Canis lupus familiaris: one gene and its partners. The protein of the gene in region 1 purifies or fractionates together with the protein of each later gene. This does not show direct contact. Links are inferred from orthologs where the notes say so. Each region holds a gene or a part of one and is shown in the gene's direction. Other genes may lie near its edges.

Region 1 (3,626 bases):
TAGTTTTCCCCAAATGTCATAGTCTTTGTGCTTGGCATTTCTGTGGTATATAGAATGCTCTGGAATTTAGCAGGTTTAGCCAGTAAGGATGGTAGTGCTAATGATTCTACTTCATTGTCCCCAGGCTTGGTGGGACTTGGGGCCTCCCTGAGTCCTACAGGAAGTTGTCTTGCTCACTTCATTCTCCAAGAAGGTTAGCAAAGAAGAGTTTATGCTTTCTTCTGCAGTGGTAATCATTGTGACCATTAATACCATGTGCCAGGCATTGTTGCATTCATTATCTCACTTAAGATAATTCTTTAAGATAGGTACTACTGTATTTGCTTCTTTTCAGATGAGGACATCATCATCCAGAGAAGTTAAGTAACTTGCTCAAGATGACAATTAAACAGTGGCAGGGTTGGGATTCAGACCCAGCAGGTCTGACTGCATAGCCCCTTCTCCTAATCACTGTTTCTTTCATACTAAGATTATTGTCATTTCTCTAATTGTTACTTAGCCTCTACTTTAAAAAAAAAAATTTATTCATGAGGGGCACAGAGAGAGGCAGAGACACAGGCAGAGGGAGAAGCAGGCTCCCTGTGGGGAGCCTGATGCAGGACTCGATCCCAGAACCCCGATCCCAGGACCCCAGGACCATGACTTGAGCTGAAGGCAGATGCTCAACCCCTGAGCCACCTGGGTGTCCTACTCAGCCTCTACCTCTATTTAGTCTTCTCAGGCCATAGTTTCCTGACTCTGGGGCAAGATCACTTGGGGCCTTAACAGCTAGGATACCAGTGCTCAGAATACTAAGAGATGCTGGAATGGGAATTGTATGTGCTAAATGTTACTCTTCGTGACCGTGGCTGAATATCCTTTATCTGACCTCTCTGGCATAGGGACAGCTTCATATATCCACTATTTCTTTCGTAAGTGTGAATTTTAAAGACTGGTGGGGTCCCTGGGACTGGAGTATGTATTGGGACTAAATTCATTTTCTCTTTTTAGTTCAAAAGGTGATGACTTATCAACAGCCATTCTTAAACAGAAGAATCGTCCCAATCGGTTAATTGTCGATGAAGCCATCAATGAGGACAACAGTGTGGTGTCCTTGTCCCAGGTAAGTTGGGTCAAAGGTTCAGTCTTTCCTTATTGCACTTAACCTGAGGACTTTTCCCAGGTTTCTTTCCTCATTTTTTTTTTTTGCAGTGACCACAGATAGAGTGGGGTTTACTGGGAATTCCAGCCTCCAGGGCTGCTGCCTACCCCTTGGCCCAGTGACCCAAAGGCCTTAACCTTCTTTTCTCAGCCCAAGATGGATGAACTGCAGTTGTTCCGAGGTGACACAGTATTGCTGAAAGGAAAGAAGAGGCGGGAAGCTGTGTGCATTGTGCTTTCTGATGACACATGTTCCGATGAGAAGATTCGAATGAATAGAGTTGTTCGGAATAACCTTCGCGTACATCTAGGGGATGTAATCAGGTGTGTGTGGGGTTCTTAGCCCCTCAGGGATGGGAGGCCAGAGACAGCCTGAATTATAGACAGGACTAATGAAGTTCTTGGCAGCTACCCATAGCAGAATCCTTCTAGCCATGGGAAGACTTAATATAGCAGGGCTATCTTTAGGTTTTGATTCTGCCTCCCTGAGACTTCAGAATTTACTTCTGCATGACCCTTGGGACAAGTTGCATTTCTGTGACTTCTGTGATACCTTTACTTATTTTTTTTGCCAGAGGTATGATTTATAACATGCTGAACGCTGGTTTAGGATACCATTTGAGAGTGTCTATGAAACAATCTCACTGTTATGTTGAAATAATGGCTTGTGTTGGGACCAGAATGAGGTAGGAGTGTGGGCATAGAAGGCGAATTTCCGATTAGGGTTTTTTTATGGATCAAAGTTAATATAGAATAGAAGCATAGTTTGAGTCAGACCCTGAATAGCTTCAGCTTCTATCTGAGTGATTTTTTTTTTTTTAAAGATTTTATTCATGAGAGAGAGAGAGAGGCACAGACACAGGCAAAGGGAGAAACATGCTCCATGCAGGGAGCTCGATGTGGGGCTCAATTCTGGGACTCTAGGATCCTGCCCCAGGCAGAAGGCAGGAGCTTAATCACTGGGACACCTAGGGATCCCCAATCTGAGAGATTTTAAACTTAACTTTAGGCAAGAAGCTTTCCCATCTTGGAGTCATCACTAGCCACAGCTATCCAACCCCCTGTCAGGAACATCTGAGACTGGCCAGGAACATCTCAGACTTCTGATTATTTTTAATGGATTCTAGATTTCATGTAGCCTTCTGGAGGTGCTTAATCACGTCAAGTTTCTCTGACCACCTGGCTGAGATGACTTTTTTTTTTTTTTTTTTTTTCAGTTTTATTTTTTTGATCCTGATACTTGTCCCACTACGGCCTCCGTAATTTTGGGTTACTAATATTAGCCAAATGGGTCATCTTTGGATATCTCTCACTGAAGATCCTTGCTCCTATTTCTTCATTTTGGGGGCTTTACATGTGTGGGTCTTCCTTTTGGCTCACTGATTGGGAGTGAGCAGCCCCATTTTAGTTCAACTTTAAATTTACCTAAAAAAAATAAAATTTTAATGTAAATTTGTAGCTTCTTCTAATGGCTCCTACTACTGCCCTTCCCCCAAGTATGACTTGGTCTTAGTTCTGTTTGGCTGCTCTTTTGTCCTCACTCTCACTCTGCCCTCCTTCCTCTCTTCACCTAAAGCCATCCCTACCTTTTTTCTTTTACTTGCCGTCAGCTCTCTGTGCCAGGCACTTTCAGACGCCCAGTGTTTGGGGCTACATTGTGGTTGGTAATGTGGAGTCTGCTTGTCATCCTCAGCATCCAGCCGTGTCCTGATGTGAAGTACGGCAAACGTATCCACGTGCTACCCATCGATGACACGGTGGAAGGCATCACTGGCAATCTCTTCGAGGTATACCTTAAGCCATACTTCCTGGAAGCTTATCGACCCATCCGGAAAGGTGAGAGATAATTCTAAAGACTGAGCTTAAGGATAGTTGTTTGTAGGGATACCTGGGAGTAAATCTTGGAATGTCTTTATCTCATTCTCATATGTGTGCTTACACACACATTCTGCATACACGCTCATGTGTACTCTCCTTCCTTCCTCCTCCTTCCCACTCCTCCATTTCCCTACTATCATTCCCTGCTTCAGTAGAGTAAGCTCTCTTCTCCTTTGTCCCAGAAGGAGGACTTGGGCACTTTTTGGCTGTGTCACAGTCCAAAGTGTATTTAATATTTAGCACAGTCTGATCATCTGTGGTTGTTGTGAAAGCTTGGTTACCTATAGCCCATAAGATTTTGTTCAGTGTCCTCTTGAATGGCAGAGGGACACTTCACAGTTTAGCTTTCTCCTCTTGCCTGATGCTTAATAAGGTAGAGGTGGGAAGGGGAAAGGGGCAGTATCTAGTGAACTTGGCATTTTAGACAACAGGTTCTGGTGAGGAACTCTCACTTGCTCTGGTATTTGACATCTCTGACTGCACTTGTGCTAATTACTCTCACAGGAGACATTTTCCTTGTCCGGGGTGGAATGCGTGCTGTAGAGTTCAAAGTAGTGGAGACAGATCCCAGTCCTTACTGCATTGTTGCCCCAGACACAGTGATCCAC
Region 2 (4,388 bases), on another chromosome or scaffold:
CACCATACACAAAAGTCAAGTCAAATGGATGAGAGATCTGAACATAAGACCTTAAACCATAAAACTCCTAGAAGAAAATATAAGCAGTAAGCTCACTGCCCTTGGTCTTGGTGATATTTTGGATTTGACACCAACAGCAAGGCAACAAAGGCAAAAAATAAACATCACACTAAAAAACCCTTCTGCACAGCAAAGGAAGCTACAAAGTGAAAAGGCAACCTATGGAATGGAGAAAATATCTGCAAATCACATATCGGATGATGGGTTAACATCTAAAATATACAAGTAAATCCTACAATTGGAGCAAAAAACCATAAATGACCCAATTTTTTAAAAATGAGCAAAGTACCTAAATGGACATTTTTCCAACAATATATGAATGAATGGCCACTGAAATGCGCTCAACATCATTAATTATCAGGGAATTCAAATCAAAACCACGACGAGGTATCGAGTCACACCTGCTATGATGTCTTTTACCTAAAAGACAAGAGGGCCTTGCTGGCCAGGATGTGGAGAAAAGGGAGCCCTGTAGCTGCTGCTGGGATGGTCAACTGGCGCAGCCACCATGGAAAGCGTTATGGAGATTCCTTAGCAATTAAAATTAAAACTGCTCTGTAAATGGCCCAGGAATCTCATTTTTGGGTATATGGACAAGGACACCAAAGGATTATGATGAAGAGGTACCTGTAACCCCAAGTTCATGGCGGTATTAAAAAGGCAACCTATGAAAACAACTTAATCTGCCCACTGACAAATGAATAAAGAGAATGTGGGGCTTCTATTTCTGTCTCCCTCCCGCTCTCTGCGCAAACGCAGCAGGCTCCCGGCCACCTGGGGCGGAGGCCTCGTCTGCCCCCCCCCGGCATTGGTCTGGCGGGAGGGGGCGGGAGGGGGCGGAGCCAGGCGGGAGGGGGCGGAGCCAGGGCGGGGCGGGGCGCGGCAGAGGGGCGGGGCCACGGCGGAGCGTTGCCGCAGAGGGATGGAGTGGGGGCGGGGCCAGGGGTGGGGCGTTGCCGCAGATGGGGGCGGAGCCGTGGTGGAGGGGCGGGGCCAGGGCGGTCCGTGGCGGGGGCGGGGCCATGGGCGGGGCGTTATCGTAGAGGGGCGGGGCGAAGCCGCGGGAGAGGGGACGGAGTGTGGGGGGGGAACCGGGCGGGGCCGGAGCGTCGCCACAAGGGGCGGGGCGTTGTCCTGGGGGGCGGAGTCGGGGGCGGGGCGATGCCGCCGGGGCGGGGCGGGGCCGGGCGGGGGCGGAGCGTCGCCACAAGGGACGGGGCGTTGTCCTGGGGGGCGGAGCCGGGGGCGGGGCGTTGCCGCCGGGGCGGGGCGGGGGCGGAGCGTGGCCACAAGGGGCGGGGCCGGGGCGGGCCGGGGGCGGGGCCGGGGCGGGGCGGGGGCGGGGCCGGGGGCCGGCCGGGCGGGGCGGGGCCGGCCGGGCGGGGCGGGGCGGGGCCGGGCCGGGCGGGGGCGGGGCGAGCGCAGGAACCTGGGCCGCCGCGCTCCGGGCGCCGCTCGCACTGCGGGTCGGGTCGGGTCGGGGCGGGCCCGCGGGCCCCCAGCCGCTGTCCCCATGGGGCTGTGCTTTCCGTGTCCCGGGGAGTCGGCGCCCCCGTCGCCGGCCCTGGTGAGTAGGCCGCGGCCGGCCCGTAGCTCGCGTCCGCCGACCGCGCACCTGCTCCGGGGGGGAGGGGAGGCGCGGGCGGCGGGAGGCGGCGGCGGAGACGGGCGGCTCCGAGGCGGCGCTGCAGGGCCGAGGCTCGGTGCCCGCCGGGCTGCAGGGGCGGTGCGGCCGCTGGGCCTCCGCGGGCGGGGGCGGGGGCGGGGCGGGGGCGCCCCCCGGATCCGCGCCCCGGGGCTGAGCCTGAGCCCTCCCTGCCTCCCTCCCTCCCTCCCTCCTCCGAGGACCGCGCGCTGTCCGCGGTCACGAGGGGACGATTTGTGACGTTGCCACATTTAGCAAATACAAAGCGCAGGGCGCCCACTTAAATTCCAAGTTGTTTTTTTTTTAATTTTATTTTCCTTAAGACTTTATTCATTTATTCGTGAGACGCAGAGCGAGAGAGAGAGAGGCCGAGACGCGGGCGCGGGAGCAGCAGGCTCCGTGCGGGGCGCCGGCGGCGGGGCTCGATCCCGGGGCCCGGGTCCCGCCGGGCGAGGGCGGCGCTTCCCGGGCGGCAGCGCTGGGACGTGCTCACGCGGGAGTGATCGCGGCCGGGCCGGGGTCGGGGCCGGGGTCGGGGTCGGGCCGGGGTCGGGCGCCGGGAGCGGCCGTGGCTCCGCGGACACCCCGCCCCTGGCGTCGTCCGAGGAGAAGGCGGTGGAGGAAGCGAGCTGTTGGGGGAGAGCTTGCCGCACGCCCCGCTGCCGCCCCCGCTGCCCCGGTGACCCCGCTGCTGCCCCGGGGACCCCGCTGCTGCCCTGCCCGCCGGTGTCGGCTAGGCCCTCCCCTCCCCCAGGTGGGCACAGGGCTCGCACCCGCATGTCACCCACCTTTGCAGTTGCTGGGGGCCACCCTAGCTGAAGCGGACCCCCCCGGCCCCCATCCTGATCCCCCGCACGCCCCTGTGCATCCCCTCAAAGCGCCCACGGCTGTGCAGCACCTGCACCCACCCGGTTGCACTCACCTCCGTCCGCCCATCGCGTGTGGACACATTGGCGTGTTTTCACCGCTGCATCCTCAGCGCTTGGAATAAGGTCCTGGGGCAGGTAGTTGCCCAGGAACTGCGCGTGCAGTGGAGGAATGGATGTGCTTATTGTGGCATGAAAAACAAACGCAGCCAAGAGAATTCTATTTACTGTCTTAGAGATTTTAAGGAACTTACCAAGGCCAGCAGTACAGGATAGAAAGAGGACCCCCCCCCCCCGCCCCCCGCCCGTGTCCCAGCATGGAGCAGGGCCTCCTAACAAGTTTCCTTCGGGGCTTGGTGTCCTGCACGATGGCATGAGCCCTGGTCATCCGTGGACATTTCCCGGAAACCCCAGCCTACTTCAAACCACGCATTCCGCTCCTTGTCTTACTAAAAGTCATTTGTTCTATATTCTTGCCCTGACTAGCGTATAAGCCCCCCTTTTTAAAAAATAAGTAATAAATAATAAATAATTTTACAGGCCAACCCGATCTTGTGTATGTCTTATATGCATATAAAACATTTATTATGTAAATGTGTCTTAAATGTGCTTACCTGAAGGTAATATCAACTGGGAGGATGACATTCAGGAAGTTGAGGATTTCCTAAACAGTGTAAATAGCGACAGTCTTAGTGGACATTTTGAACAAATACTAAATATTTTTGTAAATTACATCGCCTCTAAGACAGGACTTCTCCGCGATAATGTTTGCTTTGATTCTAAAAACCTGCTTTTACACATTTTCTTTAGGAAGAGAAAAGAGCAAAGCTTGCAGAGGCTGCAGAGAGAAGACAGAAGGAGGTAAGAGTAGACATAAAATCCTGCCCACAGAGATAACTGTGTACTTTATTCTATTTATTACTAGTGTTCTCTAGTGAAAATGCTGTCCGCTAACGTGTAAATTTACATGTAGTCATTTTTCAAAATGATTTCTGTAGGTTACATAAATGCATTTATATCATTTAATACATGAAGATTACAGACGTCTTCTGTAACATAAGATTGGCCCTTAAATGACCTCCTTCCCTGGGATAATGCTACCTTGCCTTTTAAAACACTGACAGATGTGAGATTTACAGAAAAAAATACCCAATGAAGAAATAGTAAGATGTTTTCTATGAAGCTCTTATAGAAATAGTCTAGCTCTTTATAGCCAGAATTAAAACCCCTCACCTTCCAAGAAAAACCCAAAAAGCAACAAACCCACACCTTTTGGATATTGAATACTGATTTTGTTGTTTCCCTGTACCACTTAATACATTCTCTAAAGGCTGCATCTCGGGGCATTCTGGATGTTCGGTCTGTGGAAGAAAAAAGAAAGAAAAAGGAAAAAATAGAAAAACAAATGGCTGAATCTGGGCCCCCACCAGAAGGTGGACTTAGGGTAAGTATTAAAATTTACTTAAGGTTTAATTTATCTGGAGTTTTTAAAACCTTCAGTAGCAGTCTATTGAATAATTTCCTCTTGCAATAGATTATCAGAAAATTTTGAATTAATTTAAAAGCATGAATAATAGAGATTGGAAGAAGTGGCAATTTATTTGGACATTCCAACATTTGTTGTAGTAGATCTGCCTTTTTTTTCCCCAAAATGAAAATAGATTGTTTTTTCCTGATTACCTTAACACTATCTTAGTACTTTATATAATTAACACTAATACATGGGAAACTTACTATGAAGAGTATAAAGAAGAACATAAAAATTACCCCGAATTCAGTGTCACTTTACAGACATTTCTAATCTCCATTTGTACATT
Region 3 (4,213 bases), on another chromosome or scaffold:
CCCCTGAATGGGGACAGGGAGTGGCCCCAGGCAGTGGAAGCCAACCACAGAAAGCCACATCATGGACACATTGTGGGGGAGGGGTGTCTCTTGAGAACAAAAGACCCATTTCTAGACTAGCCAAACTGGAGAGCTTGGGGGACGGGGGAAGAGGGGCTTGTGCACGACCACACCCTGTCAACGCACTCTTGAGGAGCCCAGACACAGACACATCACAGGCCTATTCAGCCAACAGCTTGTGGAACACCCATGCACTCTGAGACCCTTCCTGGGAGAATTTCTTACTCAACTATCAGAAGGACCTTGTTATAAGGTCATTTCACTACAGAGTCTGGCCCCAGAAGAATAGTAAGCCAGTGGTATATGTATGTGTAACATAACATCTGTACTGCATGTCCACTTCATCCCCTTTCTCTTCTGACCAGTGGACTCCCTTTCCCAGTTTTTTTTCTCCAAGAATCCCCCCCATCTCTGCCTTATGCACACACCATCTCACTACATAGCCCCTACCACCAATGTTGTGTTGGCCTCACTTGGACCAAAAGTCCAGGAGTACAGGTGACATCAGGAAGTGAATCAGACAGAAACCACTGCCCACCATCCCACACCCTGCCAGTCCCTCACCTGGCTTGTGTCCTTCCGATAATTCCTGACATCAATATTCACTGAGCAGCGATTACACACCAGGCACTGTGCCTCGCTGGGGTACAAAGCCTCCCCCTGCGCAAGGTCCATTTGGAATCTCATGAAAGCCCCTGAGGGAGGAGGGGCAGGTGGCATCCCCCCACTGCAGGGAAGGACGGGGAAGTTCACAGCTGCCATTGTAATCGACCGTCCTTCTGACTCCGCGTTTCTGAGCCCTGCTCCATGCTTTCTTCTGGAGGGTTCAGTGTCTGCTGCAGCCTCTTCCTGCCTCTCCCACCCCTAAGGGACCCAGCAAAGCTCAGGGTACCTCGTTCGTCCCTTTATGCCACAAGACAGGGAGCTGAGAGGGAGAGGCGTCCTTTTGGGATGGAACATGGGGTTGGTCCCTGAGCGGGTGTGGGGAAGAAAGACTGTCTGCAAAGCCGCGGGGTGGGGCTGCCGCAGCGGTGGGACCCGGGAGGGAAGTCTGGGCGGGGTCCGAGAGCCAAGAGGGGCTTCTATTGTCCTCCCAGGAGCCCGCCAGCCCCTCCCCTCGGTGTGCGGGGTGGGGCCCAGACTCCCGCCCCCCACGGGCCCCCCGGACCCGGGTGGCGGCGGGAGGAGGCGCCGCATCGCGCTGCCGGGCGGGGATGCGCGGTGCTGATGCTGCAGGCCGGTGCCGCATTCTGCGGCGGCGTCCCCCGATTGGCCGCGCGCGGTGACGCCAGGCCGGGCGCTGCGGGGGGGCCCAGCCTATAAGAGCGGGCGGCGGGGGCGGCCGACCCTCCGCAGCCAGCCCCGACCCGTCCGCGCGTGTCCCGCAGCCGCCCGCCACACGCACCGAGCATGAGGGAGATCGTGCACATCCAGGCCGGCCAGTGCGGCAACCAGATCGGAGCCAAGGTGAGGACGCGCGCCGCCTCCGTCCCCTCCCCCGCCCCAGGCTCGGTCCCCGACACCGGCACGCGACCCGCGTCCCCACCCAGAGCCGCGCTTACCACCGCGAAGCCGAGAACAAAGGGACGAGCCGGGGTGATCCCGGCCCTGCCACGTCCACACCGCCTGCCCTCTGTTTCTGCTCGGGTTAGCTCAGGCCTGCAGGAGCGCAGCCCAAGTCGGCGACTAAGCTCCATCCACAGCGGCTGCAGCTGCGGGGACGGTTTGGGCGTGGCCCTCTTCTTGGGGTCGCAACTCAGCCTTGAGCGAGATGGGTGGGGTGGGCAGGTGTGGGTGGGACACCCCCTTCAAAGCCGAAATGATTCCATCTGCCCTGCTCCCGCTCCCCCCACCAACAGGATGCCCTCCAAGTGGCCAGAACCCCCCCACACAGGCCCCCAAACATACAGTTTGGAACCTCGGCTTCCTGACCCCACCCTGTTCCTTTGTTGGGGGAGGGGTTGGGCCCAGACTCGGGGTGACCTTGGCCCAGGACTGGACTCTCCCTCTGCTCAGCCCCGCCTGGACAAACGCCCGGTGGGGTTGGACAGCGCCCACTCAGGGACCATGGAGTCAGGGTGGGTTGTGGGAACAAAGCTGGGCTCTGGAATGGAGAGCTGCATCACCCTGCGGCTCCTCCCCTCCATTGTTAGCCTTCATCGGAGACCTTGGGACTAAGGGGATGAGAAGGTGGTATCATTCCCCACTGGAACCTAGGAGACAGTTGTCACGTCCCCAAGTCCAAGGAGATTATTTCTTGCCCAAGGTCACACAGCAAGTGTGACCAAAGAGCCATGCTATCTTCCAGAGCTCTCGTCCCTGCAGACGTCCAGCCCAGGGCTCAGGCTGGGTGGGTGGGGCCTGCTGCCCACTGGGACACTCCACAGAACAAAATGGGGGACCCCAGGGGTGGCTTTGTCAGGACCAAGGCCAGGGACCCAGGGTGCAGTGGTGCAGGGCGAGTTTCCCAAAGGAGGCAGTGGGAGGAGACAAGTCTTGGAGGGGAAGGGGCCAAGGAAGGGATTCCTCTGGAGGCTGTTGCCATGGAAACCAGGCAAGAACAAAAAGCTAATTACAACCCGGCTGGGGCAGCCTCGTGGCTGATATGTAAATTGCAACTTCTCTAGGGTGGAGGCGACTTGGATGGGGTGGAGGGGTGGTACCAGGGAGACTCCCTAATCACCCGAAGAAACAGCTGTGCCTGCCCCAGAAAGGGGGCTGGGAGAGGGGGAGGCCGGGGGGGATGATGGCCTCAAATCAAATCAGGGCTCCTGGGGCAGTCACTGACAGCTGCCCTGGCCAGGTGGGAGGGGCGGGGGGCTCATTAATGTGGTCACAGGGGCCAGGCCTGCCCTGAACATCTGCTCCTCAGAGGGTCAGGGGTCACTGGGGGAGGGAGGGCAGCCCTGAGTTCAGCCTGAGCCTAGCGGAGTCATGATCTGTTTATACACCCATCCTTTCTGTGGCCCGGACAGACACATATCAAGCAAAGGCAAGTCCACGCCCGGAGCTGTAGCTGGGCTAGGGCTAGGGGTAGGGGTAGTGGGAGGGAGGTGGCAGGAGGAGGAGGGAAGAGGGCAGGGGCCATAGCCTGAATGCTGGACATGTGTCCTCAGCTGAGATTTTTTTTCCTCCTTCTTAGAGTTGTGGCCTCATGGGTTTGCTAATTATTTTTATTCCTTTTGGGTTGATTTTCTTATTTTATGTTGTTTTAAAAATTAATGTCTGATCCTTTCTAACAATGAAACCAGAGAGAGGTGGATTTTGTGGGGGGAGGAATTGTTTCTTTCTTTTCCACCTCTGCCTTTTTTGGCCGACCAATGACAGCAGTTGAGCTTTTTCCTTCTGGACTCCTTGTCCTGGAAAGTCTTCAGAGACCAAACTCAAAGAAAATGCTGAAAGCTGGGGCCAGGCCCAGCAGATGCTGACATCTGCCCTGTGGAGGGGCAGTTCATTAACCATTTCTGTTTACTGATCCCATATTGGCTGTGGGCTTTCTGGTGAGGGGAGAGAGCAAACCTTGACATCCCATCACCAGCAGCAGCTGACAGGGGTGAGGGTGGGGGTGGGGTGGGGGTGGGGCTGCTGCTCTGCTTGCTGGACCTGGAGCGGTGCCTGGCACAGTTGCGCCTGCTCTAGCGAGGGCCCTGGCTGTGGAAGGATGGAGAGAGGTCAGGGCGAGAACACACCTCTCCTGAGAGGCAGTTTGACATCGATCGCTACTGATTGAGCACTGTGCCAGATGCTTTAGGCGCCATCACCTCACGGGGAGGCAGCGAGAGGAGGTATCGCCCTTCCCCCAGGGGTCGTTCCGGGAAGTGGAGGCACCGCCCAGCAAGGATAGGGCAGGAGTCTGAGTCTAGGTCTGCACGGATACATCAGGATGGGCGGGGCCTCCCACCCCCCACCCGCCACCCGCCACCCGCCACCTCACCGTCGCCACCAAACTGGCGGATGAATCCGGGGACCTCGGCCTTCCCCTCTGGGTGCAGGACCTTCCAGGAGCCTTTGTCTGCGCCCCCTTCTCTCGGCCGCTGGGCGGAGCTTCGGAGGGGCGGGCCCTGGCGCTGACCGCCAATGCGGGGAGGGATTTCCTGATTTCCTTGCACCCGCCTCCTAACTGGGTCAGAGTAGCGCTGGTTGTGCTCGGGGC
Region 4 (3,626 bases), on another chromosome or scaffold:
GTACGTTCTTCTGACTGAACCAGCCAGGTGCCCCCAGTTTTTTTAATTAGCATGTAAGCATTTTTGAGAACTTGCTTTTGTTTCCATTATAGAGAAAAATTGTCCTGAACAATGGGTGAAAAGAGAAAGTGTCATTAGTAACAGAGGTGGACATACTTTGTGAGGGCAGGATATCACTGACACTATGTATCTCATTCTTTTTTTAAGATTTTATTTATTTATTCATAGAGACATAGAGAGAATGAGAGACAGAGACACAGGCAGAGGGAGAAGCAGGCTCCTCACGGGGAGCCCGATGTGGGACTCGACCCCAGGTCTCCAGGGTCACGCCCTGGGCTGAAGGAGGCATTAAACCGCTGAGCCACCCGGGCTACCCCATGTATCTCATTCTTACTGGTGATTTCAGGAAGCATTACTTTTCTTTTCTTGGTCATTTCCTTCACAGGCAACTGGGTACATTGAATTCATCCTTTTTATGCCTTGGAGACCCTGGTTACAGACTTATATAAAGCATTGTGCTTTGAAAATATATATTTCATTTTAACTTAAATCATACATTTTTCTGTCTGAGTTATACAGCAGAAAGGAAATAAATTACATTGAAAGCAATACATTTGGTATGAGTATTGATTGATTTTATTTTTGTGGAATTTTTTGAAGACATATGAAGTGTATTATAACATGCCAAGCTTAGAAAAGAATACATGAAAATTCACTTGACTCAATTTTCTCTTCCAGATTATGGGACATAGAATGTGGTGCATGTTTACGAGTGTTAGAAGGCCACGAGGAACTGGTGCGTTGTATTCGATTTGATAACAAGAGGATAGTCAGTGGGGCCTATGATGGGTGAGTTTGCTAACAGGGTTTAAAAAACAAAATGTACATCTTGATTCCTCCTACCGGAGGATGTTAAATACAGTATTTCCCTGACTCTAAAAGATTATAGATTTTACAGAAAGGATCTGATACAATATTTCTTGTGTCTCATCTATGTATTCCCCTCTCCTTTGTTTACTTTTCTAAGATATTTTTCCCAGTCATTTAATTGCACTTGTTTCCTGGTGATTTTCATTAACAGTTTAGTTATTTAGTTATGCATTCATCTGTTTTGATTCACCTATAAAGCAAAGAACTAGGAAAACACAGTATGCCAGGATATGTGTGTAAAATAATGACTTATTAATAAAACTGAAATATTGGAGGCAGTATCTTTGGGGCATAATGTGGTAGGCTCTTGAATTTGATGTCTTTGAGTAATTCCTAAAAGCGCAGCTCTCTTGTCTTCACTTCTCTTAACATTTTAGTGACAAGTTCAGTAATCTTTATTTTCTTCGGTCTAATTTCCAATGGTTTTAAAATCCATTCATGTTGTGAATGGATCCCATGTCCGGCAATGCTAAGCACATAGTAAACTCACATAAAAGTGTATTTACTTATGAAGGCCTCTTTATTATTTCTTCTTGTCAGGATGCCTGACATGAGGGAGTGGAAGGCTATAGTTCACATCTTGGCAGCTTTTTAAATATTAGAAACTACCTTACTACATTACCTTAGTTTAGGAGCTGGCAGTGATTAAGACAACTCATACAGTAGGAACAGACCATTTTCTCTGCTTTGAGTCATCCATCACTGTTCTACCCTGTGGGAGATTGTTCAGGGTGTGAGAACATACTCCAGTTACATGGTATTTTCTGATTGCCCTGGTTTTTATCTGTACCCACCTTTCTTGGGTTTTGTCTGTTATTTACCTTGAGGAGACATGACCATATGTTTGGTTCTTGGAAGAGCTAAACTTTTCTTATTTTAATCAAAATATGGGAATTTGTATAAACTCCAGAGTATTTCAATGGGCTCTAGTCCTCTGGTTCAGGTTACCTGGGCCATTCTTAGAATTGACCAGAAAGAAGATACTTCACAATTGTAGGTTTCTAGGTCTAAGTGATCTCTTCTATCAGTCTTTAAGAGTCTAATATATAAGATCTCTTCCTGGCCCCAAAGTATGGTATAACTTTACCATTCACTTAAGCTTGGTTAGAGCTAACCTATTTCTCATTTTTAGGTTAAACCTGTACATTTTTCCCCTGTTAAGACCAATAACCTCTACCCAAGAATGAATGCAAAAACCAAGTCTCCAAAACAAAAAAAAGTTCTTATATATTCTTGTGAGCTGCATTTATCATATAAATTACATTCATCAAAAAAAAAATTACATTCATCATACCTATTTATTGCCATGACTTTTTGCTATTTTTCCCATGGTCCCTTAATTTTGCTTTTAATTAAGATTTTTGTCCCCTTTTGGATCTTTAGAAAAATTAAAGTGTGGGATCTTGTAGCTGCTTTGGACCCCCGTGCTCCTGCAGGGACTCTCTGTCTACGGACCCTTGTGGTAAGAACCTTGCTGTTTAGAGGGGGTTGGGGAACAGGAAGGGAAAGAAATGAAACATTGATGTGGTATGGAATACAGATCTGGATTTGATAGTTAGAAGCTCACGAAACCTACTACTAAGTGGAAAGGCAACTAATACATGACAATAAAATATGTTTTTTTAGCGCCTTTCATCCAAAAGTGCTTTAGAGACTATGTATAGAAAGGAATGTGGCAGCTGTTTAACAGCTGCACAGCAACTCTACACCACAGTTTAGTACAGGAAGTGAATAAGGATTCTGTATCCACCAGAAACAGTAGGGGGTACTTAGGGAGAGAGAACATAATTACTCAAATTGGAACCTGTCCAGAAGCTGAGGACCTACACACCTGTGCCTGCAAAAAGTGTCATGGGAGTCTGTGTGAACCCCCGGTCAGCCCCCTGGCTCTGCAGCCTATTCAAGGCATGCTGCCTCCAGCAACATGAATCCCATCTCTTTTATTCCTTGCCATAAACATCTTGACATTTGAGGAAAGAAGTGACTCAAAAGGAAGAAAGTCACCTTTGAAAGTGCTAAATTCTTTATCATGGTGTTCACCAAAGGCCCGGATGAGAAAATGGCCTAAGGTTAAAAGCTGCTGCCATTGGAAAAAGAAAATTAGGTGGGGCACCAGGGAGCACAACTCAGGGTAAAGATGAGAGCTAGCATTTGAAGCCCAGTGTTCTGAATCCTAACTCTCAACATTTGGCAGCCTCTGCTCTGGAGAAGAGAGAGAGAGATGTTTCTTTGTCTTCCTGATTGGATTTAAAGCTCATTGTTGCAGCATCAGACCTACTTTACCTGCATGTTTCAGACATGTTTTTTAAAATGTATACTTTCATTCATTTAAAATTAATCTAAGTCTAAATGAGGTGTAATTTACATACAGCAAAATTTACCCTTTTTCAGTGTGTTTTTCTGAATTTTGCAGTGTGTAAACACCTTGATCGAGATCTAGAACATTTCTAACACCCCAAAAATTATACCGCTTCATAGCACTACCCTCTCCCACACCCCTAGCCACTATTCTGATTTTTGCCATTTTATGAATGTCCTATAAAGTCATACAGTATGTAGCTTTTTGCATTTGGCTTTATTCACTTCATTTGAGAGTCATTCATGTTGTTGCATGTGTTCGTGCTTAGTTCTTTTGTATTGCTGAGTAGTATTCCACTGTGTGAATGAGCCAGTTTGTTTATGCACTTACCAGTTGA
Region 5 (3,626 bases), on another chromosome or scaffold:
ATCTTCTTTGTCTCCTTAAAAGATACTTCATGTTATAAATTCTAGTGGGTTTTTATTGTGGGTTTTTGTTTTTTTTTAATGTTACTGTGGGCTTTGAGAATTATAGAATTTATTTAGCTAAATGAAGTTCACAGGTTGGTCAAGCAGTGGTTACGAGGGTGGCAAGGAAGGAAGGAGTAAGTGTCCTTCTTGTACTCCCTGCGGATGTTCTGTGAGCCTCGGTCATGATGCCAGGGAAGATCTCCTGTGGGAGCTCCCACTGGCTGTTTTCTGAAACAAGACTTTCTGTGCACTCTGGCATTTGAATTATCGTGTGCACTTTTAACATTTATCTTCATGTGATCAATTCGTTTTACTGCTGTTTCGTATTCTTTGTGTATGTGTATATTTACATTTATATATTTTTAAAGATTGGGGCTTGAGCTCACAACCCTGAGATCGAGTCGCTCCCTACACCAGCTGAGCTAGCCAGGCGCCCTTCGTATTCTTTATTTATTTTTATTTTTTTAAAGATTTTATTTATTTATTCATGAGAGACAGAGAGAGAGAGAGAGAGAGGCAGAGACACAGGCAGAGGGAGAAGCAGGCTCCATGCAGGGAGCCCGATGTGGGACTTGATCCCGGGTCTCCAGGATCAAGCCCTGGGCTGAAGGCGGTGCTAAACTGCTGAGCTACCTGGGCTGCCCCCGTATTCTTTTTTTTTTTTTTTTTTTTTTTTTTTTAAACCATCATGTTTCTCACCTGTTCCTCCTCCTCTGTGTGTGTGTGTCTATTAAGAGCTAGAGGCCCCATGATCTCCTGTGGCTCTCTCCTCTGCGTTGTGCTTCTAGGGTTCCAGGTTGTGTGTATTTGGGTATTCTCAGCTTCTGTTTCAGTTTTCCAGCAATCCATCAACAAACGCAGTCATTTCCCATGCCCCCATGTTGTCCTGGTTTTGAGATGAATAAACATCTCTTAAAGGCTCACCTAACCCCACTGCAGAAAACACTGAGGATACCTACATGTACCAAGAAAAACACTGGAAACAAGTCCCAGAACAGAGTTGGGGAAATCCTAAGTAAAGTGTTAGCAGACTAAATTTATTAGAGAACTAAAGAATAATTCTCCAGAACATAGTATAGTGTCCTAGGAATGTAGGGATGGCTTGGTGGTAGCAAATTTAACGTAATTTACTATATTAACGGAAGTATATGTGGTCTTCCTGGCAGACGTGGGAAAACGTTTGATAATGTCACTAGCTGTCTCTCTGACTTTGCCAGAAAGCCATGTCCCCAAGGCTGGTGAAAATGGGGTATTTGGGGGTGGTTTTCTATTTATTGCAAGTCTGGTCAGTGTATAATTCAGCCGTTCTAGTCCGATCTTTTCTTGTAGTCCTTCGAGAATAAAAATGGACTTTAAAGTGGAATGCCTCCTCTGACCTGATTTCATTTTTTTTTAGGCTAGATTATATGAAAATTCTCAATATTTTATTTTATTTTTTTTTTTTTCAATATTTTAATAACATGCTTTAGCAGACCTTCAGTTTGGCAAAAAACTTATTATCCTTTTTATACGTTGCCTTTTCACAAGAGGCCCTCACCAAGTCTCTTGGTGTGTTGTTTCTTAGTTAATGCTGCCAAAGCAGACAGAATGGCAGACACATGCTAGGGTTGCTTCAGTGAGCACGCACTAGTGAGTGGAGCTAAGAAAGAAAACTCTTCCAGAGAGAAAAACCACCCTGGGCTACCTGTGTGAGGACTAGGACTGGATTTTCTTAGAAATACCTTTCCAGAGCTTGTTTGGTCATTTCATGTGCTGGATCATGAGCTGGATCATTTCATGTGAACTTATGGGGATCTTATCTATGAAGGACTCATAAAACCTTAAAAATTTCATTTACCCTAGAGTCACCTTTCAGTTAATACTTGTTCATAAAAGAGAAAGAATTAGTTGTTAAGGGCAGCCCTCTGTTACATAGAACCACAGAGGAAGGCAGTGCTTTAGTGGCTTTAAACAGTTTTGTTTTCTTTAATGCTTAGGCCATTAGAAATCTACATGTGCTTTTGGTTTTTTCAGAGTTAAATTAAAGCATATTATAGGAAGCAGTTGGCAAAGTAAAGTTCCTTTATTTTGTGTTTAGGTAGATTTCCTTTCAGAAACGAAAGGAAAGCTTGAATGTTCAGGGCAGACTTTAATAAGTATCCTCTGTTGATTTTCATCTTGCATGTCCAAAACGATTATTTCGTAAACATGTTCTTCCGTGATAGTTTCAGTGTAAGATTGCCACGTTGCCATAGGTGAGAAAAGTTTGGCTCAGTGGTACTTGCTGAGTAAATGTTTACTGATTTGTTTGAAAACAGTATACCTTTTTTTTTTTTCCAGTTCCAAGAATCCAGAAGAAGCAGAGCTAGAAGACACGCTCAACCAAGTGGTAAGGCGCTTCTTACTAATCACTCTGGTTTCCAGTAGCAGTTTATCTCCCAAGTTTTAAGGTTACTTGTATAGGGCATCTGAAATGTGAAAATTAATAGGATCATTTATTTTACTTCATATCTATGGTTTTACTCCCTAAATTGAGTCATTAATTTTAGCACTCGTACTTTCCTCATTAGTACTAAGTCTAGACCAACTTAATATGATTAAAGGGGTTGATGAAAATATTTCAAGACTGTGGATGGTATTTTTTTTTTACCACTGTAAACGTTGGCACACAGGCCAGTCAAAATAAAGCACCTGTGTCGGCTGCCGGCGTGTGTTTAGTGCATTAAATCTGCTCTCTTGGTGACTTCACTAGATGGTGGTCTTCAAGTATATAGAGGATAAAGACGTGTTTCAGAAATTCTACGCAAAGATGCTGGCCAAAAGACTCGTACATCAGAACAGTGCCAGTGATGATGCCGAGGCGAGCATGATCTCAAAATTAAAGGTAAATTTGATCATGTCCTGAGAAAAATCCAGTTTTTAAGTCATCGTGAAAGATCTTAGCTGTTGCAGGTTGTCAGTGGGCAGAGTCGCTAGTCTAGGTAACAAAGAGTTTGTATGGAATGAGCCCCGCTGCTCCGCTACAGGGGGGTTGTGACCGGTCAGGCCTCCCCTCCCTGTTTCACATGCTTTGCCAACCCATCCATGCTGCTCTTGGAGGGGCCTCCTGTCCCGTCAGACCCGGCTGTGCCGTGCTCACCACCGCAGCATCTCCTACTCCGCACATTCGTCCCCACTCTGTCTTCACACACCAGAACCACTCAGGGTGGCTCAGCCCACCTGCATGTGGTTGGCTTTGAGTTGGTTTGTGTTTGTTTTGCTCTGGGTTTAGTTCACTGTCTGCGATTGTACCTGCAGGAAGACAGCGTTTTACTTGATCGTTGAGCAGTTATTTCATTATCCAGCCACCTCTGCGCTGAGCTTGTGCCTGCTAACCTGTTGAGTGCTGTGATGTGTCTTAGACCTATTTCACTTCGACTGAAATTAGTTATGTGGGTATATTATTCTGCTCAAACTGCCGTAACAAAACACCATGGACTGGGGGCTTTAACACTAAAAATTTATTCTCCCAGTTCTGAAGGCTGGAAGTCCAAGATCCAGATGCTGGCTGATTCGCTTTCTGGTGAGGACTCTCTTCCCACCATGGTGACAGCCGCCTCCTCGCT
Region 6 (4,160 bases), on another chromosome or scaffold:
ACTATTTCTTATATTCCACATGAGTGAAACCATATAATTGTCTTTCTCTGATTGACTTATTTCATTCAGCATAATATGCTCTAGTCCCATCCCAGGGGAAGTGAATGGCATAGGTATTCATCTATCTTGCAGTTTGACTCCATCTTACCCACGCAGGATTTTGTAACATGATGCATTGATCAGCTGGAGAATGTTGGTTCACAGAGTTTGCAGCCCTTCCAAAGGCACAATGGGAAGCTCCACTGTACACTCCTGAGTAAAAGGAAATGTCTTTGTACAATCATGAAAATAGTTCTGGCCTTCTGGATTCCCCAAATTGGGGTGGGGGAAGTAGCCACACCTACTTTGAGAACCAGTGACCTATGCTGGCTACCGGTTTTGTTGCTAACCAACAGCTTCTGCAAAAACAAAGAAAAGCCCAATAAATAAAGTCACTTATACTTTCGCCTTCTAGCAATAAATCCGTGTTGAAATTTTGGGTCACTGGCACCTCTCTTCAGAGGCAGGGACTGTGTTTGATTGATCCACAAATTCCAGATTGAGCTCAGCGCCTGGTCCTTATAAACACTAAAAAAATGTTTGTTTGTTTGTTTTTCCTGTAGTTTTGTAAGGTGTCCTTTCCATTTAGCCTTGTCAATTTCGCAAAAAGTATTCTTTAATAACTACACTAGATAATATAGTTTTCAGGTTCAAACTCATTTAAAAAAAAGCATGACTTTGCCTTAAAGATTAATATCATTTTGGGGATCCCTGGGTGGCGCAGCGGTTTGGCGCCTGCCTTTGGCCCAGGGCGCGATCCTGGAGACCCGGGTTCGAATCCCATGTCGGGCTCCTGGTGCATGGAGCCTGCTTCTCCCTCTGCCTATGTCTCTGCCTCTCTCATCTCTCTCTCTCATAAAAAAAAAAAATTAATATCATTTTGCAAGAGAGGAAAAAAAAAAAAAAAAAAAGGCCAGGTCTGGAGGGCGCCAGAGCAGACGCCTGGGGAGCAAGGCGGCTCAGAGCCTCTCGCCCTCGGCCGGACGCCGCACCCCGGGGAGCCCCTGCCGACGCCCTGGGGGAGCGAGCTTCGGCGCCCAGACACACTGAGCATGCGTGGAGCTCGCCCGCGTCCCGTCCCGGGAGAGGTTAGAGGTCGCCAGGAATTAGCCCCGCACCCCCGCCCCGACGCCGGCACTCGGAGGAATCCGCTGCCACGCTGCTCCACGGGGCGTGGGCGCCGCTGAGCGCTGGAACGTTGCTCGCGGCAGCTGCCCTCCGGCTCCTCCCACCATCTCCCCTTCCTTCACTATAGCAGGCCCGCGGCAGTCGGAAAAACCCGGACGGGCGGACGCCTCCGGCTGCGGACCGACTTCCCTTCCCGGGCAGGAAGGGAGGGGGCGGGCGGAGCGGTGCGGCCCGCGGGCCGCGCATGCGCCGCTCACGGGCAGCCCCAGGAGTGGAATCCAGTTGCCGGATTCGCCGCTGCGCCGGGAGTGCGCCTGCGCGGTCTCCGGGTCCCTCCACCTCCGCTTCCCCTCCCCCTGTCCCCCCTCGGGGGCTCCGGGTCCGGCGGGACCATGTTCGCCAGCACCGGCTCCAGCGGGCTTTGTGAGTACCGGCCGCCGCCATCCTGGCTCTTTCCCACGCGGCACCCTGGGCACCTCCTTGAGAAGCCTGGGGGCAGCGGGGACCCTCGGGGTTGTAGGAGGTTTGGGGGCCGACCCTCCATCCCCGCGCCCGAACCTTGGGGGCTCCTCCTGCGGGTGAGGGGCGGCGGGCCCGGCCCCCCCTCCCCCGCCCTCAGCCCGGAGGGGCCAGTGGGCGCTGAGTCCCGCCGGCAGCCCCGGCCCTCACCTGTGAACCCCAGGTACGATGCTCAGGTGTTCCAGGTGGACCGGAAAGTTAGGGTCGGCCTGGGCGTCCCGGTGTTCTCCGGGCTCGACCCCTTGCGCTCCGCGGCGCGGGTGCCAGGCTGAAAGAGGAGGCTGTCCTGGTGGAGCCGATGCTGGAAGCCTGCCCCCTTCCCAGTCACCTTGCTCCATTTAGGCTACAGAGGGACCGAACTGGCTCCCCCCCAGGTGCACATTCCAGCCTCGGTCTCAGGAGCCGACCCCAAGGGTTTACTTAGATTTTTTTTCTTCCTCGGTTTCCCGTGAGAGTTTTTCGACAAATAAAAACTGATTAAAGTACATTAAAGTGGAAGGAAGTGAAGAAGTCATCTGGCAGGAAAGTGCGGACATTGCTGCTGGATGTTGCTGTCATCGTTCACTTGAACGTCCGCGGTGGTCAGCAGATAGAGGGCAAAGCAGTGCATGGAGCCTTTTAAATGACAATTTTTTTTTTTTTTTTCGCTGAAATTGTTTAGTTGGCTTTCGGTAAGGTGGACTGTATGTTAAGTAAACAGCACCGAGATTAGGCACTGGTACAGTAACAGGAACTGTTTGAACAGGCGTAATTTAAAATTGCTTGTCACTGTTGGTACTTCAGAGCTCTCTGCACGCGAACTTAATCGTGCCTCAGTATGGAAGCAGTTGACATTTTCAAATATTAAAAGATGTATTGTGATTGTCAGAAATCTTTTCTGAGAATACAGGTCTCAGTCCGAGACTGCCCATCAGAGCCACAGGCGCAAGGTTAAATCTTCCTCTCTCAACCTCTCGGGTTCTGGAGCGGGTTGAGTATTTATGATTTTCCTTGTTTCATAATTAATTCGATTTATGGTACTCGTTGGCCTCAGAGTAGGTTACAACTACGAGCTAATCTTCTCCAAACCACCCTTGAGATAAAATACATACACATAGGACTGTTGATACTGCTGGTCAAGAAAGTGGTGATTTTCTTGGGATCACACAGTGAGTCCTACACTGGTGGATATAAAATTAATGGTAGAATCTTCCATTTTAGTTATTTCAGCATTCTGAGCTATTTTTACTTGCTGACCAAAATACATGAAAAAATTAAAAAGGTTACTATACTGCATTACTGGGTTACTGGTTACTGCTGGTGATTACTATATTGTAGTAGCCATTGTATTGCAAAGTTTATTCAGATGTGATACGTGGTGACATTGGGGTTAACACTTGATCACGTGGCACAGGGTTGATGAGTACTGAATTCTAGGAACCAAACTCCTACCCAGGGAGAGGCATAGGCCAAGGCTTAGGCCAGGGCCTAAGCTGTCCTGCCCTGTTTCTAAAGTAAGTGTTTCCTCAGGGTAAGACTTGATGGGATGAAAAAAAAAAAAAAAAAAAAAAAGACTTGATGGGATGGCCATTCCTCAGAAGGCCATGTCTTCTGTGCCCATTTAACAAACATTTTGAACATCGATTGTGAGCTAGAAACTGCTAGGTGCTGGGATTGCGATGTTGAACACGTCTTGGTCCCTTGTGTTTGCAGTGTTTACAGTGGACTTTGGGCGGTTTTTCCAGGACTGGTCTTGGCAAGACTGGGTATGAGCAGTTACCTACTTTAAAATTTCTCCTTGCAAGGCTACCCACTGAGAAGTAAGTGATTTCATTTACTAAGTTGTATGGCTCTTTGGCAAGTCAAAGCTCAGATTTTAAGTTAAGTATCCTAAGGAAGGCTAATCTGCCTACCCATGACCCCATGGATGATGAGTAACATTCTCTTTTCAAGAGAAAAAGTCTCTGCATTTCCTACCACCTGCATAGGTTCCTCATTTTGTGACTGGTAGATAATGGGGTTTTAGTGTTACATTTGCCTTCTGATTTATTTATTCATTAAGTGTCTATTGGGTAAGCCACACACTGTGTACAAAGGATAGAGAGGTAAACAGGATAAAGGAGACCAACATGCAATAAGTTAACAAACAGTGTGATTTCCCTTAGTGTTAAGTGTCATGAAGACAAGATGAGTGTAATGGCATGATTGCCTGCTTCAGCAAGTGTGGTCAGGGAGGGTAACCTGGGAATGTGACATTTGAGGTGAGAACCAAATGGTGGGAAGGAGCCAGCCACGTCAGAATTTGTCAAAAAATGTGCATTTTGCAGAAAGGGAGCAGCAAACACAAAGACCGAAACAGGCACGGCAGGGCATTTTCAAGGTACTAAAGAAAGCTGGGTGTTAAATCAAGGGTAGGGCATTTTTGACTGTCTTTGAAACTGTATTGCTCTCTATCTAGTCATGTAGTTATAACTCCATCAAAGTGCGTAGGAAAC
Region 7 (4,166 bases), on another chromosome or scaffold:
TGTGACCATCTTGTGGGTGGGTCAGAGTTGTGCCCTACTGTAATCCTGCGTCCATGCGTCTGGGATACACTAGATAGCAAATATCTGGCCACAATGCTAGGTAATGAATCCTAATCCTCTCCACTGATAATTTGGTTCTTGGATGTCTACTAACATCATCTTCCAATAATGTAGTCACAAAATTATTCATCTGCATATTCCAAGAATCTAGAACAGTGCCTGGCAGGCAATAATAGTCCAGTAAGGGCTCCTTCTGAAGCCATCTCAATTCCATTTTGGAAGAGTCTTCATCCATCAAGTTGGGATCTGAAGGGTGAGTGGGCATTAGGCAAAAGAAAGGAGGAAGCCAAGTGTGGGGAGGATGGAGAAGGATCTTCCAGGTATCGGGGACAGCAGGAGCAATGCTGGAGTGTGGCCCTGTGGCAGGGAACTGGCTTGGCTGGGGGTGGGGTGGGGGTAGGGGTGGTGTCTGGAGGAGCCGTAGGTCTTGGACAGAGTCAGAGAACGTGTCCCCTCCCACTCGAGCAGGAGAGAGGGAGGAAGGCAGGCAAGTGTGTAGTCTGATGGCAGGACATTAAGAAGGCTTCCATAGGATGGCTTCTACTTTCTCCCTGAAGAGGGAAGTAGGGATTCTTCTATGTGGGAGGAGGGGCAGGGAGAGGGAAGAGAGGAGAGGTTTCAGGAGAGAGGACAGGTCTGAAGTCACCGCGGAGGAGAGAGGAGACAGGACGGAACCGTGGGAAGTGGAAGGATTTCTTCTGAAGTGTTGAGGGTCCAGTAGAAGTTGGAGACCACATCTTTCCATTACCCCCAGGACCACGGCTGGTCAAGGTTTCTCCAGCCCCTGGGTGTGGGTGGACTGATGGATGGAAACTCCATCAGCCCTCAGGTGGGAGGGATGGAGAGGCCCCCGGAGAAGCGCAGGGGGGACTCTCCTAAGGGAATGGTCTGGGTAGAGGGCCTCGGGCTGGACAGGGCAGGGAAGAGGTAGGCCGCGGTGGGGAGAAAGGGCACAGGGCAACGGGCTGGGGTTTCCACCGTGGGGTGAAAGACAAATGGGTAGCGGTGACTGGGGTTGCCAGAAGCGTAGGGGTAGAGGTGAGGAGGGGCAGAGCAGGGGCAGAAGCAACTGATACCAAGGAAGGGATGGAAGTGGGGGTGCTGATGAGGAAGTTGGAGGGGTTGCCCTGAGGACAGACAAGGCCCCAGCTGGACTCATGCCCTAGAAGCACCCTGGCAGCCTGTAGGGTTCGCAGGAAACCAGTCCAGCAGCTGCCCCCCAAGCCGGGAACACTGAAGGGCTGGGGCCTGCCCCGAGGTCACGGGAGCCAGGAGCCCCCCCCCCACCTGCTCGCCCCAGGGCCGGGCTGGGCGGCCCAGAAGGAAGCACGTGGCCCCCTCGGGCGCGTTGCCCGGGAGACGCGGGCTGTTTACCAGCGGCCGGAGCCGGCGGACAGGCGGATGGAGCAAGGATGGAGCAGCGGCAGGTGAGCGCGCCGGCCACGGCCACCGCCAGGGTCACGGCCAGGGCGACGCCCCGGGGACAGGACGGGCCCGGGGAGAAGCGGCCACTCCCGGGGCCACGCAGGCCCGGCCCAGCTCACCGTTGCAGGAATGGGGCAGCTCCCGGGCTCCGCGGAAGCCCCGGGGCCTGGACGGGGACACCGACCCGCGGGGACCAGAGGCCGTCCCGCACACCGAGAGGCCCGAACCAGACCAGACCGGAGCTCCCCCAGACCCGTGCTCTTTCACCTGGGCGCCTCTCACTTTCTAGACGTCCCCTCCTGCCCCTCCCCCAAATGCCTGCTTCTGCTGTTCCAGCCCCTTTCGGTCTAGAGGGGCCTGCGGGCACTTGGAAGATCTTCTGCAGCTATCCTCCTCCACCTGCCCCTCCCCACGCTGCTCCTGCAACCGTCCCCACTGCCTTTTCCAAACCTTTGATCACTTGATGGCTTGCGGTCCAATTTCTCCACTCCCCCTTTGAAACGTGGCACTCTGCGTGGGACAGTGCATTCTACTCATTTAGTCGGGGGTAGAACTGGGAATGGTACCAAAGTTTTCTCCTGCTCAGGCCAACTACCATCTCCTGTTGATTCTTCTGAGTGCCTTTCATGCCTTTCATCCTGACAGCCTCACCAGGGGGGCGGGGTGGGGATTGGCAGGGGATAGTATTAACTGATAAACATTTTTAAAAGACCAATTCAAATGTATGCATCCTCGGTATACATCAGCAGATGGTACGTGGGTGGGTGTATTTTACTGCGTTTACCGTGGGTTTAGATTTGGGCTGTGAGTGGATGAGGGTGGTCTGACCCTGTGCTGAGGGGCGGGTGGGGGGGGGGCTCCTTAGGAAAGCAGGAGGATGGCCTCAGCCTTTCCTGTCACATGTTCTCCCTTTCCAGTTGATTGGGTGAGTAATCTTAAGGAATGGGTGCCTGCCCTTTTGGCAGTTCCCTGGAAACAGTTACCAATGTTTGTTTCCTGACTGCTAGCAAGCCTCTGGGGTGCAGCTATTCTGTTTAAGTAAACAGGCCACTTGCCTAATCAGCTGGCAGCTTGATGGATGCCTACACCTAGGTCTTGTCAAATCACTTTGTGGTTGAGCGATTGCCAGGCCTAGAGGTGGGGAAACGAGCTGAGCCGGGATAATGATGGGCTCTGCGTGAGTCTTCCTGGCCCCAGGGGCGGGATGGGCAGGGTTCGGGGACCCAAGGTGTGGCTGCAGAGGCACTGTTGGCCCAGGGTCCCCAAACACCTGTTTCCCCTGCTTCCCCTCTCCATGGGATAGATGCTGGGGAGAGCTGGTGCTCCCTCCATGTAACAGATGGTCCCCGAGCTCGGGAGGAGGCAGTGGGTTATGAAAGCAGGTTCGATGGAATGGTTTTACCTGAAGGAGGTGTTAGTCTCTAAATAACCATGAGTGGGCTTATAGGAATTAGTCATAATTGAGGTTTTTTTTTTTTTTTTTTTCTCTCTCTCTCTCTGAGATAGCTCGCAGTCATGTTATCTTATGACCAGGGTGTCTTGAATATGACACCCCCTGAACATGGATAATTATATAGTACCAAAAGGTATAGAAAGTGCATGCACATACTCAAGTTTTACTGTTAAAAATAATCCAGCAGAGAGCCTGCAAGAACACATGACTTTCCTCATCAAAGTTGTTAAGGAAGAGGTTTCTAAGTTACCAAACTTACTGACAGTTAAACCGTCCCGAGGCATGTGTGGGAGTTAGAAGCCAAGTCTGTGATAATTCTGTAGAAGCTGTGGCAAATTAATAGCCATTCCTTGAGGCGGGGAGGGTGAGCCGAGAAGGGGAGCTGGTTCCCGAGTTGAGCTTATCTTTGGCAGAACAGTTGGACAATTATGACCTTCTTGTGTCATCCTGAGTTAAAGTGCAGAGCTGCTTAATTGCAAGGGAAAGACTTTAGAACTAAACCAACAGGGAAGAAACCACGTTTTTCACAGTTGATCAGAAAATAGATTAAATTAACAAGGAGATGGGCAGGCTTTTTTCATGCCAAGGAGAAGGTTCCTGAACTCCCAGCAGCCAGACTGGGTGTGAAAGCCTAGCGAGAAGTGGAAGATGGGAGTGTGGAAAGACCCCGTCTGTGGACAGGGTAAAGCGAACACAGAGGCTTTTAAGTTAAGAAATGGAGGACAGGGATCCCTGGGTGGCGCAGCGGTTTGGCGCCTGCCTTTGGCCCAGGGCACGATCCTGGAGACCCGGGATCGAATCCCACGTCGGGCTCCCGGTGCATGGAGCCTGCTTCTCCCTCTGCCTGTGTCTCTGCCTCTCTCTCTCTCTCTCTCTGTGACTATCATAAATAAAAAAAAAAATAATTATTAAAAAAAAAAAAAAAAAAAAGAAATGGAGGACAGCTTTTGAACTGGCTAGTGCCTCGGGGATATAGGGGAAGACTGTGTTTTGTTTGGGTCTGGTCTTAATGGAGAGGGAGAGGATACTTTCTAAAATTTGGCAAGATGGGTGAGAGGCACCGAACGGTAATGTTAGAATGGAAGGCTGCAAGGCTGGCATTACATTGCTCAGGATTGTGTGACAAAGGTAGCGTGGAGTCAGTTTGAGGTGAGGATGCAATGAAAGTGTGGAATTAGAAAGCGTTATTAGAAAAGCATTATTTTGCATTTTTGAGGCAAGTTCAGAG

The links.
Region 2: the proteins of VCP (region 1) and SVIP purify together in Homo sapiens (affinity purification with western blotting; 3 studies listed by BioGRID and IntAct, with this or other methods). This does not show direct contact. The link is inferred for Canis lupus familiaris from reciprocal best matches to the Homo sapiens genes VCP and SVIP.
Region 3: the proteins of VCP (region 1) and TUBB3 purify together in Homo sapiens (affinity purification with mass spectrometry; 3 studies listed by BioGRID and IntAct, with this or other methods). This does not show direct contact. The link is inferred for Canis lupus familiaris from reciprocal best matches to the Homo sapiens genes VCP and TUBB3.
Region 4: the proteins of VCP (region 1) and BTRC purify together in Homo sapiens (affinity purification with western blotting; 4 studies listed by BioGRID). This does not show direct contact. The link is inferred for Canis lupus familiaris from reciprocal best matches to the Homo sapiens genes VCP and BTRC.
Region 5: the proteins of VCP (region 1) and CUL1 purify together in Homo sapiens (affinity purification with western blotting; 4 studies listed by BioGRID and IntAct, with this or other methods). This does not show direct contact. The link is inferred for Canis lupus familiaris from reciprocal best matches to the Homo sapiens genes VCP and CUL1.
Region 6: the proteins of VCP (region 1) and UBAC2 purify together in Homo sapiens (affinity purification with mass spectrometry; 3 studies listed by BioGRID and IntAct, with this or other methods). This does not show direct contact. The link is inferred for Canis lupus familiaris from reciprocal best matches to the Homo sapiens genes VCP and UBAC2.
Region 7: the proteins of VCP (region 1) and UBXN10 purify together in Homo sapiens (affinity purification with western blotting; 3 studies listed by BioGRID and IntAct, with this or other methods). This does not show direct contact. The link is inferred for Canis lupus familiaris from reciprocal best matches to the Homo sapiens genes VCP and UBXN10.

What each region holds. Positions count from the first base shown.
Region 1 is NC_049232.1:51,941,676-51,945,301, reverse strand, and holds part of VCP (transitional endoplasmic reticulum ATPase), read left to right. Parts: intron 1-990; coding exon 991-1,102; intron 1,103-1,291; coding exon 1,292-1,464; intron 1,465-2,833; coding exon 2,834-2,976; intron 2,977-3,522; coding exon 3,523-3,626. UniProt on the Homo sapiens protein: Necessary for the fragmentation of Golgi stacks during mitosis and for their reassembly after mitosis. Involved in the formation of the transitional endoplasmic reticulum (tER).
Region 2 is NC_049242.1:45,097,753-45,102,140, reverse strand, and holds the start of SVIP (small VCP/p97-interacting protein), read left to right. Parts: upstream 1-1,469; 5' UTR 1,470-1,573; coding exon 1,574-1,627; intron 1,628-3,381; coding exon 3,382-3,432; intron 3,433-3,901; coding exon 3,902-4,015; intron 4,016-4,388. UniProt on the Homo sapiens protein: Negative regulator of the ER-associated degradation pathway (ERAD) of misfolded proteins. It competes with AMFR/gp78 for binding VCP/p97, and inhibits AMFR/gp78-VCP/p97 complex formation that is required for degradation of ERAD substrates.
Region 3 is NC_049226.1:64,180,450-64,184,662, reverse strand, and holds the start of TUBB3 (tubulin beta-3 chain), read left to right. Parts: upstream 1-1,370; 5' UTR 1,371-1,470; coding exon 1,471-1,527; intron 1,528-4,213. UniProt on the Homo sapiens protein: Tubulin is the major constituent of microtubules, protein filaments consisting of alpha- and beta-tubulin heterodimers. Microtubules grow by the addition of GTP-tubulin dimers to the microtubule end, where a stabilizing cap forms.
Region 4 is NC_049249.1:14,342,901-14,346,526, forward strand, and holds part of BTRC (F-box/WD repeat-containing protein 1A), read left to right. Parts: intron 1-738; coding exon 739-849; intron 850-2,313; coding exon 2,314-2,392; intron 2,393-3,626. UniProt on the Homo sapiens protein: Substrate recognition component of a SCF (SKP1-CUL1-F-box protein) E3 ubiquitin-protein ligase complex which mediates the ubiquitination and subsequent proteasomal degradation of target proteins. Recognizes and binds to phosphorylated target proteins.
Region 5 is NC_049237.1:1,659,926-1,663,551, reverse strand, and holds part of CUL1 (cullin-1), read left to right. Parts: intron 1-2,361; coding exon 2,362-2,410; intron 2,411-2,773; coding exon 2,774-2,905; intron 2,906-3,626. UniProt on the Homo sapiens protein: Core component of multiple cullin-RING-based SCF (SKP1-CUL1-F-box protein) E3 ubiquitin-protein ligase complexes, which mediate the ubiquitination of proteins involved in cell cycle progression, signal transduction and transcription.
Region 6 is NC_049243.1:49,408,218-49,412,377, forward strand, and holds the start of UBAC2 (ubiquitin-associated domain-containing protein 2), read left to right. Parts: upstream 1-1,237; 5' UTR 1,238-1,559; coding exon 1,560-1,590; intron 1,591-4,160. UniProt on the Homo sapiens protein: Restricts trafficking of FAF2 from the endoplasmic reticulum to lipid droplets.
Region 7 is NC_049223.1:78,140,482-78,144,647, reverse strand, and holds the start of UBXN10 (UBX domain-containing protein 10), read left to right. Parts: upstream 1-1,341; 5' UTR 1,342-1,487; intron 1,488-1,604; exon of another isoform or gene 1,605-1,798; intron 1,799-1,935; exon of another isoform or gene 1,936-2,133; intron 2,134-4,166. Other genes in the region: PLA2G2C (putative inactive group IIC secretory phospholipase A2), read right to left, coding at 1,137-1,219. UniProt on the Homo sapiens protein: VCP/p97-binding protein required for ciliogenesis. Acts as a tethering factor that facilitates recruitment of VCP/p97 to the intraflagellar transport complex B (IFT-B) in cilia.